Linked DNA regions of Drosophila melanogaster. The protein of the gene in region 1 interacts with the protein of each later gene in a pairwise test. Each region holds a gene or a part of one and is shown on either strand. Other genes may lie near its edges.

What was found. Proteins that work in one complex are often made in the same cells at the same time.
Region 2: the proteins of bab1 (region 1) and CG32121 interact in a two-hybrid assay, tested with the Drosophila melanogaster proteins (one study listed by BioGRID).

The regions. Positions count from the first base shown.
Region 1 is NT_037436.4:1,097,691-1,103,427, forward strand, and holds the start of bab1 (bric a brac 1), read right to left. Parts: upstream 3,400-5,737; 5' UTR 2,947-3,399; coding exon 1,411-2,946; intron 1-1,410. UniProt on the Drosophila melanogaster protein: Probably acts as a transcriptional regulator. Required for the specification of the tarsal segment. Also involved in antenna development.
Region 2 is NT_037436.4:13,416,337-13,424,172, forward strand, and holds CG32121 (uncharacterized protein), read right to left. Parts: upstream 6,001-7,836; 5' UTR 5,986-6,000; intron 3,790-5,985; 5' UTR 3,759-3,789; coding exon 3,645-3,758; intron 3,075-3,644; coding exon 2,751-3,074; intron 2,648-2,750; coding exon 1,593-2,647; intron 1,521-1,592; coding exon 1,067-1,520; 3' UTR 240-1,066; downstream 1-239. Other genes in the region: CG33263 (uncharacterized protein), read right to left, coding at 7,149-7,832.

The sequences.
Region 1 (5,737 bases):
AGCTGGCTATTTGATTAATGCACTCGAAAGCGACAATAAACACGGAACACGGAACATGGAACATGGCCAAGAACCGGCCAGAAAAGGAGTCGCACTGGGATCTCTTCTGCGCCCAGACAAACAAATATCGCATTCCGATTGATCCCGGACCGGGCAACTCCTCATCGAATGCATGTGACTCTGAATGGTGAATGGAGCTCCATCGCCAGAGATCTGGGCTCTTGAGTGAACGTCGTCGACGTCTATTGGATAAATAAATACAAATTTTTATTAAAGTGCGAATTCTGCGGTGAGCTCGGTGCTAATGCAGTCGCAGTCCAAATCGAACCGGTCGCTAAGCTAAGCTGACAAAAACTACCAGCTTACTTTAATAGTCGTAAATATTCAGATACAATGTTTGGAGTGAACTTATTGAAATATAATTATGAAGCAAAGCCGCATTAGGACTATAGATATCTTCATATGTATATTGCAAGCGCATCTTAAGATCAATATTTAATATTTTTTTTTTAATTTTCAATATCAGCATTTCAAAATTTAAAATATATTTTTATGCAATCATAATGATTCAATCTCAGAAAGAGAAAAATACATAAAAAATCCAAATAATGAATCTATCGATTTTAGCCCCAGATATTTTCTGTGCAGACCCATTCCGTCGTTGCCCTAATTGAAGCACACTTAGGGAACCACAACAAGTCACAAAATGCTCCATAGATCGAAATCAACCGCAGGCCACAGGAATTTCAATCACCTCTTGGTCACCGAAGCGTTCCGGTGCCTGCTCCCCGAGAACCCAAGAATCGGTGGATCTGACCTGAGAAGGGGTACTAAATACTATGTGGAGCAAATCTCTGCGGGAAGAAAGAGCGGCCGAGGAGAGCAAACAATGGAACGTGGAACGTGGAGCACGTGAATGCTGTCAATCATTCCGGGCAATGGCCACTCTGGCGGTGGGGTGGGGAGTTCCACAGAGCGCTGCGACCGTAGCTCCGCATTCCGCGCTGTGACGTCACGACACGAGGCGAAATGCCGCCGGCAGAATTCGCAGCCGAAGATTGAAGATCGCCGAAAGGCGCGCGAATCGTGAATCAAAACAAACCGAGGCAAAAGATCGGATAATGAATGGGAGAGAGATATAGACGGAAGCAGCGCTGCGACAGCGCAGTGACAGCGCTGCAGCAGCAGAAGAGAGCTCCACCGCGCGCTTCTCTCTCTCTCTCTCTCTGCCTCTCTTTTTGTAGAATTGGAATTGCAGAATTGAAGAGTCTTCTCTTAACTGGCATATGTACTAACTTAGAAAACGATTCACAACATATGAATAATTGAAAACAAAAGTACGAAAGTTATCTTTAAGGAAGATGAAATACAAAGATAAACGTGAAATTTAAGTTGCTTAGATTCACTCACCCTTTCTTCCTCTCGGATCATCTCGGCGATCCCTGGCTTGATCTCCAAGTCATCGGCGAGCGAGGATCCCCCGCCTGAACCCACTCCGCCTGCACCTCCTCCTCCAACTCCCCCGCCGCCCACTCCACCACCGCCATGGTGGTGCGGCGGTGGAGGCGGAAGGCGTGGCTCGGCGGACGGACCTGGTCCCAGGCCACTCAGTTCCCTGGCAGCGGCCATGGCGGCTGCTGGGCCGAGGGGAAAACGGGAATCTCCAGCAGGCGATGCCGGGTGGTGGGCTGATCCGGCGGTCTGGGAGGGATGTGGGGCGGGTGATGCGTGATGGTGCGGATGCAGGGGCAGGGGCAAAGGAAGCTGACCCTGCTGCTGTGCCTGCTGCTGCTGGGGGCTCTGCGAGTGAGGTCTCGACGATCGGGACAGAGGTCCTGGCGTGGCAGCCGGCGATGGCATGTCCAGGGCGTGGATGGCGGTCTCCAGGCGCCTCGTGGCTCCCACTGTGGAGCCACTGCTCATTGGTGGTTTGGGTGGGGGTGTCATCAGCGAACAGTCCCTCTGTCTCTCTCTTTCCTTTTGCTCCAGCTCCATCCTTTCGGCCGCAATCAGGCTGCTCAGTGGACTGGGTGGTGCGGGTGGATTGAATATTGTGTCCGCCGATGGCCACCGGCGCTTTCTTACATTCCTGCCCTGCTGCCGCTCCAGTGGGGAGAGCCTCAGCTCAGCGGGATCCCAGTCCGAAGTGCGTAGCTTCTTCTCGGGCTGCATGAAGGCCAGCAGCTCCTCGGCCTCCCGTTCCCTGTCGTGTTCAGTTCTGGAAGTTGAAGTGCTCTCCTTGGGCGAGGAGGGCATTCTCTCCGACGAAGCGGCAGCCGCTGCTGCCGTGGCCGCCTCCATATGGGTCACATCCGCCAGACCACGCACTTTCAACATCTCAGCTATCCTGAGCAGAGGACCTATCTGGTCCTGGCTCACGTTGATCTCGCCGCGATACATGAACTCCACAATGGCCTTGAGATCCGACCAATTTACGTCCCGCATGATCACAATGGGATGCTGGCAGGGCGTTTCGGCCAGAAGTGTTTGGAAGTAGGGCGAGCAGGCGGACAGGACCATCTTGTGGGCCTTCATGGACCGACCATCGCATGCCAAGGTCACGTCCACGAAGCACTCGTTCTGGAGCAGCTGGTCAAAGATGGTGGTCAGGTTCGTCTGATAGTTGTTCCAGCGCAGGCAGAATTGCTGGGAGCTGGAACTGGGCGAGGCTACCGAAGAACTCCTGCCCTGTGGCGAACTGACGGGCGAAGATCCTCCCCCTCCGGCTACAGCATGACCTTGACTCTCCTTGTCCTCGTCCTTGGCCCCGCCAGTTGGTGAAGTGCGATCCTCGCTTTTGATACGCTTCTCCTCCTGCTGAGTGGGCGAGCTTCTGTTACTCTTGGGCGAATCGGCGCCCGATCCCGTCCCTTTGCGCTGCCTCTGAGCCACTGGTCCCTGTTCGGACGCCAAGCCGACATTCGTCTCCGCCTGCGCCGACGCCATTTTGTCTGCAGCTGATCGTTGATCGTTGATCGTTGGATCACCGGCGATCGTAAACGTTACGCGATCGTTATTCGTTACGCGATTCGCTCTTCACATAGCGTTTAAGGAATAAGCATTCAAAAGAATCCGCGACAATTACGACGCTCAACTGAGAGTGGGCATGTACATGTGCGTATCTGTGTGCGTGCCTCTGTCTCTCTGTGTGTGTGTGTGTGTGTGTGTGTGTCTGGGCGTGTGTGTATGGGTGTTTAACGTATTCGTTACGTTACGCGCACTACGTGGCCATTTGGCAATTAGCCCGCCGCCTCGTTCTTTCAGTTCGATTCGGTTCTCGTCGTCGTGTCCAGTGTTATTCAGTGTGTGCTTTCAGTTCCGTTTCTGTTTCTGTTTCGGTTTCAGTGTTCTATGGCTGTATTGGCCAACAAACAGGGCCAAAAGTCTTCTCAGCACGAGCGTCTGAATTAGACTGAAATCGTTTTGCACATTTTGATACGGAAAAACTCAAAACAAACTTAACACACGACGACGACGATGGCCCACGACGACGTGGATGTGGATGTGGATGTGCGGCTGTGGCTGTGGCTGTGGCAGTGCCTGTGCCTGTGCCTGTGGAAAGCTGAGGGGCAACGTTGATGTTGCAGCAACGGCAACGGCAACAGCAGAAGCGGCAGCAACAGCAACATCAGCAGCAACTGCTACTGCTACTGCTTTGTAGTTGTTGCTCTCAGGCTGCGACTGAGTTCGCGACGAAGTTGCGAATAGTTCGCGAACTGCTCTGCCGGCGCTGCGAAAGGAAAATGCGACGTAGGCAGCGCCGCTTGGCTGAGAACCGACGGCAGAGACAACGACCGAAGCAGCGGCGAGCCCGTTGAAAATGGCTGAAAACGGCGAGCTGTAGGCGCCAAAAAACGCCGGCTAACGGCACCGCATTCCTTTGCTCCTGCGCTGCGTTTTGGCTCTCCTCGAGCTCAACATCGGAATCGGCTTCGCTCGTCCTTCGTCCTTCGTCCTTCGTCGGCCTGCTCGACGCACTCGAACTCGTCCTCGTCCTCGTTCTCGGCCTCTCGCCGTTGCAACCCCCAAAATTTTGGCGCTTTGCCGCCGCACAACTACCGTTGCGTAAAAAGGATGCGTCGCTGCAAGTGGCAAGTGGCAAGTGTGCGTGCGTGAGGAAACGGAAGTTGCCCCGAAAATGCAGCGGAGAGCGACGGCGATTGCGATTGCGATTGCGATTGTGAGTGCGAGTGCGAGTGCGGATTCGAGCTTAGGCCTAATATTTTTCGGAGGTGCTTGGCAGGAGAGGGTGTGGACGAGCCCCATCGACCAGTACCCCTGGCACAAAATAGAGGAACACATCTAGGTGGTCTTCAGGAATTGGGAATGCGGCGAAAATAGTGCTGAGTTTGCCGATTATTTAGGTGATGGATATTATATATCTTATTAGGGTTCTTTTAAAAGCTTAAATTTAAGTGAAAAAATTGAAAAAATTGAAAATTATTAAATAAAATATTTTAATTATTTTTAGAATATTGGAAATCGATATTCATATGTATGAATTGCTTGTAACATTTGTAGTATGAGCATTTTGCGAGAAGTGCAGATTAGTGATCATTAGGTCTTTCGAAGCACATTCCTCTCTCTTTCTATTCTTCCCAAGCCATTACTCTTTCTCCCTCACGCATTCCACCTCATCCGACTGAGAAACAAAACTCGGCTGAAAGATGCTTCATTAATTAGTTCCGTTCGAGGTGTACCCCACACAGCCCCCCCTTCGAAAAACCATCACGAAAAACTCTCTTCGCAGTCGACGTCGCTGCCAGTCGTGCATTGTAAACAAATGCTTAGGCGAAATCAAGATGTGCGGCGAATTGGCTCTCTCTCTTTCGCGAGAGAGTTGGCTGGCGCTTTTCGCCTAAGAGACGTTTCTCTTTCTTTCAGCTGCACCTGCAGTTTTCCACTAGTTTTTCTCGCTCTCTTCATGAGTAGTGGTGATGGGCATTTGGGGGGGTGCCGAGTGGCCGAAGGGGCGGAGGGCGGGGCACTATCGTTTCAGACTGGTCAGCCTCGGTTTTTTGCCTCTGTGTGGGTGATTCCGTGTATGTGTTTATGATTATTTTTGTTATTGCCTTGCGCATTTATAATATGCGAAACATAAAATAAAAAAAAAACACAAATCTAGCAAAAATAATAAATTCTTGCAAGTGCGAGCGGGACGAAGCTACATATCAAGGTGAGTGAGCGAGAGGTGGCGAGAGGGGTCCACTACAGCCAGTCATAAATTATGCATAATTTTTTCGTGACTGGCAAATGGCGGCTGCTTTTCATTTTGGTTACATTATAATAAACATCGGCCATGAATCGAATCGCGAATCGCGATAAAGGGGCACAAATACGCGATCGGCAGGTATCCATCGATCGGATTATATTCAGTATTCATCTGGCATCTCTGAATGAGTCTTTTAATGCCTTCATTCACTCGTATCCGGTGATTTAATGACGCTAAGTGATACTTTTGCCTACTCTAATGGCCAGCCCTTGAAATAGTTTTGGACTTTGTATCTCTACTATTTAATGAGTGTGTGTGCTATTAATTCATAAGTTATTCGGGCTTTTTAGGCTTTTGAGTATTTTGAATGAATTCAGGTAACTGAATATGGTTTTTATGTATTGGATAAATTAATAATAAAACTGATTGTTTTTCTATTATACTATATATATTATATATACTATATGTGGTAATGCTTGCACCACTTAGGACCCTTTGCAGATAGTTCTGCTTATTTTCCCCCTA
Region 2 (7,836 bases), about 12 Mb from region 1:
CGAACAATTTTTATACTACTGGAACTACGAACTACGAAAGGAAACACAAAGATATGTAAAGTACGCCAGCGTACATAAATTATTGTATTATGAAATGAAATATACTAGTTTTTGCATAGCTCGCCGATTACTTTTCTCCATTTGGTTGCGATCGGGAAAATTAGCTAAACACGCACAATTTCTTTGGCTTCTTAAACATTTATTCCTTTGAAAATTGTGTTTTTTTTTTTTTTTGGTTTGGTAGGTCTTCACCCTGTCTTTTTGTGTGCAAGTGTGTGTGCGTGTTCAGGTGTATAATTACAATATTTATAAAAACTTGGCTTAGATTACTAGAATGTGTGGACGTGTGCTTGTGAGAGAGCGTGAAAGCGAAAGGATTGTGTTTGTAACTTGCAGTTTGAGAGCCTCGGAGGTTGCTAAAGTTTCAGAAAAAATAAACGTAAATTGTGCTAAACGTAAGTACATAAATTAAGATAGCTAGAAAGGCGCTCGAGTGCAGAAGACGAAAAACGAATTGCGCTAATTATCACAGCCGGGTCTAAGACGTTGGTTTCGGTGGGACTAAAAGTTGACATATTCATATGTTGGGCACCTCATGAGTGGGTGATGAAAATTGGCTCCTCTGACATTGTTAAAAAATCCGATCATACTTAGTGGTAAAATAATGGGGCTAGATGTCAAAAAATAACGAAGAGCGTAATCTTTCTTACAAAAATCAAAGTTTGAACTTGAGATATTTTAAATATACTTTCAATACAAAAAAACATTTTGAATATGCAAATTTAAATGGTTTTGCAAGTGTTTTCAAAATGATATTATTAAGCTTGATTACGCTTGCTGATTAAATATTTTTGAAATTGGATTCGAAGTTCGGAAACATTGAAATTGAAATAGATTCCACCACCCTTGAGCGGATTTACAATTGGAGTCAGGGATCAGCCCTTTCCTTCCACCACTCATCGGTCACCCAACAATATGCGTGTGCATGGGTGGGCGTACTCCTTGTGTCTGTGTGCGTGTTTGTGTGGTGAGTTGAACAAATCAAAAATATTCAAAAAAATTATCCTCAGGTGGTTGACGCCGATGCCTCTACACCGGTCGCCTCTCCGTTGCTCGCCGTCGGTGGCTCCCGCTCACTTTTGATGCTCGGTGGCGCTTCGTGTGCCAAGTCTAGCGATGGTTGACCAGAAGCTGGCGAGGATTCGGCCACTGCTACGGCTGCTGCAGCAGCAGCCATCTGAAATTGATTGGGCAGGAAAAGGTACGGATTCCTTGCCTCCTGACCCGAACATCCAAGTGTGGTCGCTGGAGCTGGACCCACATCGCCACTGGTGACCGTGTGACTGGCGCTCATGGACATGGGCGTGGAAGTGGGCACAGTGGTCGCTGCTAGCTTGGAGACCCTCTTCCGGCGAGCCTCGTTTTCACATGGCGATGGCGCCCCAGGATGTCGGTAGCTAACGTGCTTGCGCAGGGCATCCTTGCTGCGGGACACATGGGAGCAGACATTGCAGGCATACCTGATGGAATCGAAAAGTAATTCCAAAGGTGACTTCTATTGTTTTATAACAATTAAAATTCAGACCACTTACCGAACATTCTGATGGGTTTCGAGGTGGACGCGCAGGTTGTATTGGTTGCTCAGCTGCTTGTGGCAGATGAAACAGGTGGCATAGAGCTTCGAGTTGGACGGCGGCTTGATGGGAGCGGTGGCCAGCGACTTGTCGCGGTCGGCGCTCAGCGAGAGCAGATTGGGCTCCGACTTGGCGCTGACCAGCGCCATTCCGCCGGCGGCCGCTGCCGCTGCTGCTGCCGCCTCCCGCTGATACTGTTCGATGTGGAGCTGCAGCTTGGCATGATCCTCGGCCGAGATGTAGGGCGATGGCCCGGGTTGCGGGTGGTGGTGCATCTGCGCCGCCTGCTGGGCGGCAGTCGGCGTGACTGCTGCACTATAAAGTGGTGGCTTGCTACTATAGAGTTGACCTTGGCCGAGAGCGCTGGGGTAACTAGCCGAGGAGCACTTGACCACCGGCAACTGAGGGGAGAAGTGTGCCATGGTCGGGGGAGCGAGAGTTACTGGTGAAGTGGCCACAATGGGATTCGGGTTGGAGCATTCCTGAGGCGACTTGCTACTGCTACTGTTGGTCGTCGATGAGGATTTTGGATTCTTTAAAAGGCTTTTTTCCAGTCGCCTAAGCTCCTTCGGCGGACTGTCGCCCTTTAGCCTCTTGGAGCCAAAACAGTCCGTCTCCAGTTGATCCTCCTGCATCCCGCTCTGGTAGAGCTGACATTGCTGCTGATACTTGGCCAACAGCTCAGTGGTCTTGTTGAGCGCCGTCTGCGAGAAGTTGAGTGGTTGGGGCAGCAGACTGGGGTAGAACTGCAGTGATTTAAAGAGATTCTCCAGGGGCGTGGTGCCCATTCCACTGGAGTTCACCGATCCCAGTTTGTTGGCCAGGAGAGGGGTGTTAAGTGCTGCACTTGGTAGCTGGGGCAGGGGGAGTGAATGGCTTGGGGTAGGCGTGTGGGAGGGCGTAAGGGTGGGGGTGGGCGTGGGCGAGGGTGTGGTGGGACGTTCAAACTCAGAGGACTTCTCATTCGTCGTATCCATGTAGGAGCCACCTCCACTTCTCGCTGTTTTTGGTAACTGCTTGGATTTATGAGACCAAAGAGAAAGGCGTATGAGTTTCAGGGAAAAACTACAAGTTTATTTAAATTATCTAACTAGATCTTGCACTTGAGCTACTCACATTGTTGTTCTGGACATCGGCCAGTCCCTTGATGCCCAGTGTCTCGGCCAGGTTGAGCAGCATCGGTATCTGCTCCTCGTATACATTCACCTCTCCGGAGTACATGAAGGTGAGCAGTGAGACGATGGCGCCGAAGCTGGCCCCTGGTATGATGATGACTGGATGGTTACTGGCCTCTAGAGCCCGGAAGATGTCCATAAAAAAGCTGCTGCAGGCACTCAGTACCACGCGATGGGCCCTCAGTTGGCGTCCCTCGGCCGAAATGGTCACATCCGTCAGATGGGATTGGTCCAGCAGAATGGGCAGAGTGCTCAGCAAACTTGTCTGGAAGGGATCAGAGGGAATGGGGTTGGGGATGTGAAAAGTGCTCATAAGTGGGTCACACGATCATAAAAATACAATTTCCTGGGCCCCATGATGCTCCTCTGTCTGCGGTGTAACAGGGGACAGGGGTTGGCTGCAGCTGCTTTCCAACTTTTCGATTTACTCGCTGTGGAAATTCTTTGGATTTTGGCAATTGCACGAATCTGTTCATTTATGTGACACACACACTGAACACTCCTCCTCACTACTCTTTGTCCATTTGGCTGTTTTGCTATTTTGGACAGCCAGTTTCACCGCTGCCCCGCTTTCACCGCATTACACCCTTTGGGCCGAAACACAAAAATTGTCACTATATGAAAATGCGGAAAACTATGTGTGAATCTGTACGTATAGGGGAATGTGTTTGGATAGATGGATCCTATATATAGATGCGGCGACATTTTACTTTCGGCCTGCTCGCTTCACTGAACGATGTCCAGTCCATTCTAATGGATCTTACTTATGAGGTAATGTTGAATATAGTCCCCCCACAAATGAAAATTCAAATGAATTTTATCTGGAGGATCTCACCTGATGGTTATGCCATCGCAGGCAGAATTGCTGTTGGCTGTCATTGTGCTGCAGCTGCTGATCAAAATGATGATGCTGCGGTTGTCTGGCATTAGTGCTATTTACATGTTCCATAATTCATTTGGGTTTGGATCACATGGACCAGCTGCAATGGAAGTAAGGGGGTAAATGCAATTAGTGAATGTGCAAGATGTCGGATGTCGGAGAGGTAAACAAATTCTATTCGCCTTGCCCCAGCCCACTTGGCTTCTTTGTTTTCGTTTCTCATAATTTGTTTGTTTGCATTTCGGTTTGTTTATTTATTGAACGTTTTGTCACACACACTTTTCGTGTCCGCTCTTCTTGGCCGCCTAGAAGAGCGTCTGCACCACGAGGCGTATACGTATTATGTCGTAGCAGTTGGCTTATTACTCATACGCCCCGTTATGCGCAATCTTGCGGGTCGCGGAGGTTGTTTGTCATTGGGGACCGGGAAACGGCATAATTTGATTTAATGACAGCCTGATCCATCTTTAGATTGCTGCCAGCTCCTCCAAGGTATCCGGATTGTCGAGTACTCCTCTATGTTTTGATGACCAAGTCAACGGGCTGATTTACTCGGCCGTTTCGGTGAGTGCCCAGTTGACGAATCGGAATTACAATAAAACAGCACACACACAGACGCACAGACACGGCCAGTGTTATTTGTGTTCTTTGCTGGCAATTAAACCAAATTTATTTAAATAAAATAAGTTTTCCTTGGCTGGCCTGGCCTGGGCGATCTGATCGCAGTGCCACTGTGGGTTTCTGGGTACACTATAAATTTGGCAATTTCCATTGTTCGGATCGCATGTGATGCACTGGGCGGGCGGGCGGTTCACACTTTTGTCCGAGGGCTATTTATAAGAAGCTAGTCCAAGGAAGCTGGGGTGGGTATGTCGGTATGTGGGGGATTTTGGGGATTTCTCGGTCTATGCTGCTGCTGCTGCTGCTGCACCGACGACCATTGGAGGCCCCCCAAAAACAGGCAGCCCGGCCAATGCAAATCCGCAGCGAAGTGACAAGTCCGAGTCTTTTGGTTTTCTTTGCACTTTAGCTAGCCCAGCGTGCAATTGTTGGACGACGGAATTTTCTTCATTCCATTATGTGTGCACATGGGACTGAGAATCGCATCTAAGCATTTCTCTATTGAGAGACGATGGATGGTGGAGGTTGCCTTGCCATGCCATGCCTGATGGGGTACAATGGATGCCTGGCTATGGGATTGGAGGGATGGGGATTGGGGTGGATGGCGACTCGAGATGGAGGGTCGGAGGAGGAGCGGCGCGGCCTTTTTGGCGCTCGTTCACACAAGAAAGTGTTGTCGTGACAGTCAGGCAGCCTTCTTTTCCGTAACTCTTTGGTATTTCGCTCAGTTTTTACTTGATTTTCCGAAATTAGTTTTTCAGCCTTTCAGCTCGGCACCTCCTTCTCCTGTACCGTCCTCTGGCTGTTGTTTTAAATAGCCATCCAAAAAATAAAGATCTGTGCTAAACGCTCTCGCCATGCTGTCTATTTTGATTTGTTGTCCAAGTGCCTGCCTTTTGTCATCCATGGCAATTCATTCCAAAGCACCTCGCAATCGTTTTCATTTCGATTTGGATTTGGCTTTGCCTTTAGCTTTGGTTCATTTCGAAGCTATTTCGTTGATGCGTAATATTTTACACATAATCACTCATACGCCTCGTTGAGAATGTCGAGGGAAGTGGATAGAAAATGAAATCATGCTTAAGCCTTCGCTGCGTTGCCTTTGTTATTGTTGTTTAACTTTCATTTGTTCCATGAAATGTGGCGCACATAAATTTGATGTCAACGCTGTTTTTTTCCGAGAGGTATTTGAATTTCAATATAGAATTCGCACGATCAGCGGTATATGTGAATCACGCATAATCCAGTGGCCCAGCATATCTGCCCCTGGGGAAGTCTAATAATAGAGCTCTATGGCTAACCCTTATGGTTGAGGATCTCGAATTGACTTCTTTTATGCTAATGGGATGCTCGTGGCGATCATCAAATTGAATATTTTCCCTCAACTCATGTTATTTTATGTAGTGTTTTTATGACACGCAGTTTGTTTTTTATCTATCTTTCACATTGAAGATCTCCTTTTGTGCTCGCAGCGACATTACACAATTTACTTGAATAATTTAATCACTCGGTTCTATGTTTATCACTGGGTTCTCGTTAAACGAATCCTTCACATTTTTGTTTTATTTATTTTTCTCTTTTTCTAGCTTTTCACACATATTTTGCTAATGCCATTTTCCCCGCGTCCGTTACGAATTTTCCCTTTCGCGATTTTCGCGACGGGACAAGCGTGCACCTTTGTTAACCGTTTGCTGCTCGCATCTGAAATGAAAAAATCCGAAAATGTTTCAATTCTTTCGGTTTAGTTGGAGATTTTCTATTTTTCGAATGTCCATCTCTTGACAATTTTCCTCTATCTTGTGTTGCTGTTGTTGGTGTTGTAGCTGCTGCTGTTGCTTGTTGGTGTTGCTGTTGGCCCAAATGTTGTTGCTGCTGCTGTTGCCATTTGTTTAGCGGATTCGAATTTGGCTCTCAGCATGTCGGGCGGATCCGTTTGTCGCCCGATTCCATGTTCTTTAATTAATGAGCAGGCCGCATCGGCGCAGCGAAGAGAAATCTCAGCGGTTTTGTACTCGCGATCAGTGTGAAGCCTCTTGGCCAAAAATTAATTGGCTGCCCCGCAGTTAGTTAATCAAAACATTTGCCAGTGGCAAATCATCATGAGGGCATCATCATCATCATCATCATAATCAGGAACTGCGACCACTCCGCCACTAGACACAATTGACACGACTGGCCGACAGGCGGAGGAATTTGTTGGTGCAGCGGCGGCTGCTACTGTTGCGGGATCGTGTGCATTATTAATTTGCAATAAAATGTGGAAGCGGCGACAGCAGTTGCCGCCGTTTGAAAATTGCCCGCCGAAAATAAATTCATATACCTGCGCGTTGGATTTGTGAATTATGCCTGACAAATACAAATGGAACCGCCAGATGGAGACGCCGTTGGTCATCGGGCACCCAGCACCTTCATTATGCACTTTTCAATTCATTAAAATGCCACAAATACTTATTTATTATTGTCATCTGTGCGCACCTCGATTTGGGTTAGCAGCCGCGTAGCTTGGAGGCTGTAAATAGCTCAATGTGTATATAAGCCCTTCACTCAAGGATAATTCCTTACATAAAACGTACGTTAAATGTCAAAGTACCACTAACAACTATCTAGTTGACTGACAATGCAAATGCACACGTGATTGCTATGTACACTCTAAGAAAGAAAAATAAAGTGCATACAGGAAATTATTCATTTATTTTTGATTATGATCAAAGTTAAAGCCTCATCTTAAGAACATATAAATAAATGTATAAAAGTTAATAAAATGATTTGAAATCAACCTACAGATCGCCTAATCTAATCTAATTTATTTAGATCAAAGTTGAGCTTCTAAAGATAAATCTAGTAGCTATAACTAAAGCACTGAGCCTCGCTGCTAGGCTTGCATTGCTTTGTAGGAAAGTCCCAGCCATACTTGTAAGGACATCTCACAATGGTCAGATAGCCGCTGAGGCACCTGTAGTAGTACTCGCACCGCTGGGGATGAGGATGGTCACCATCTCCGGAAATGTCGCAGTGCGGCCTTTCCTGAGCTGGAGAGGAAGGCTTTGCAGATGGGGAGGATGGCGTAGCAGATGTAGTCGGTGGCTCAGTCACTGAAGGAATTGATTCTGTAGGGGTTGTTGTAGAATCAGCTTGGAAAGTAGAAGAGTCCGCAGATCCTGTAGAGGCGTAATCAGAAGGCGGTGTTGGAACGGGAGTGGTTTCTTCGATCCCGCTCTGCTCCTCACCAGTAGTTTGCTTATCGGGCTGCTCCTCAGTCTGGACTGAGTCTGAGTTCCTTAGACACACACCCTCATCATCAAAGGCACACTCTTGGGTTCGATCGTCAAAGTAGGTGGACTCGGGGCAGCTGTCTCGGAAGGAGTCTTCTCCATTGCAATAGATGTATGAAGCGCAATCTTCGATGGCCATGACAAAGGTATCCAATGGAGCATTTGCGCACTGCGGGAAAACTTCGGCTTCAATTGAAGTGAGATATCCTGCCAGGATCAGCAGACAATGCAAAGATAGTTTAAATGACATGGTG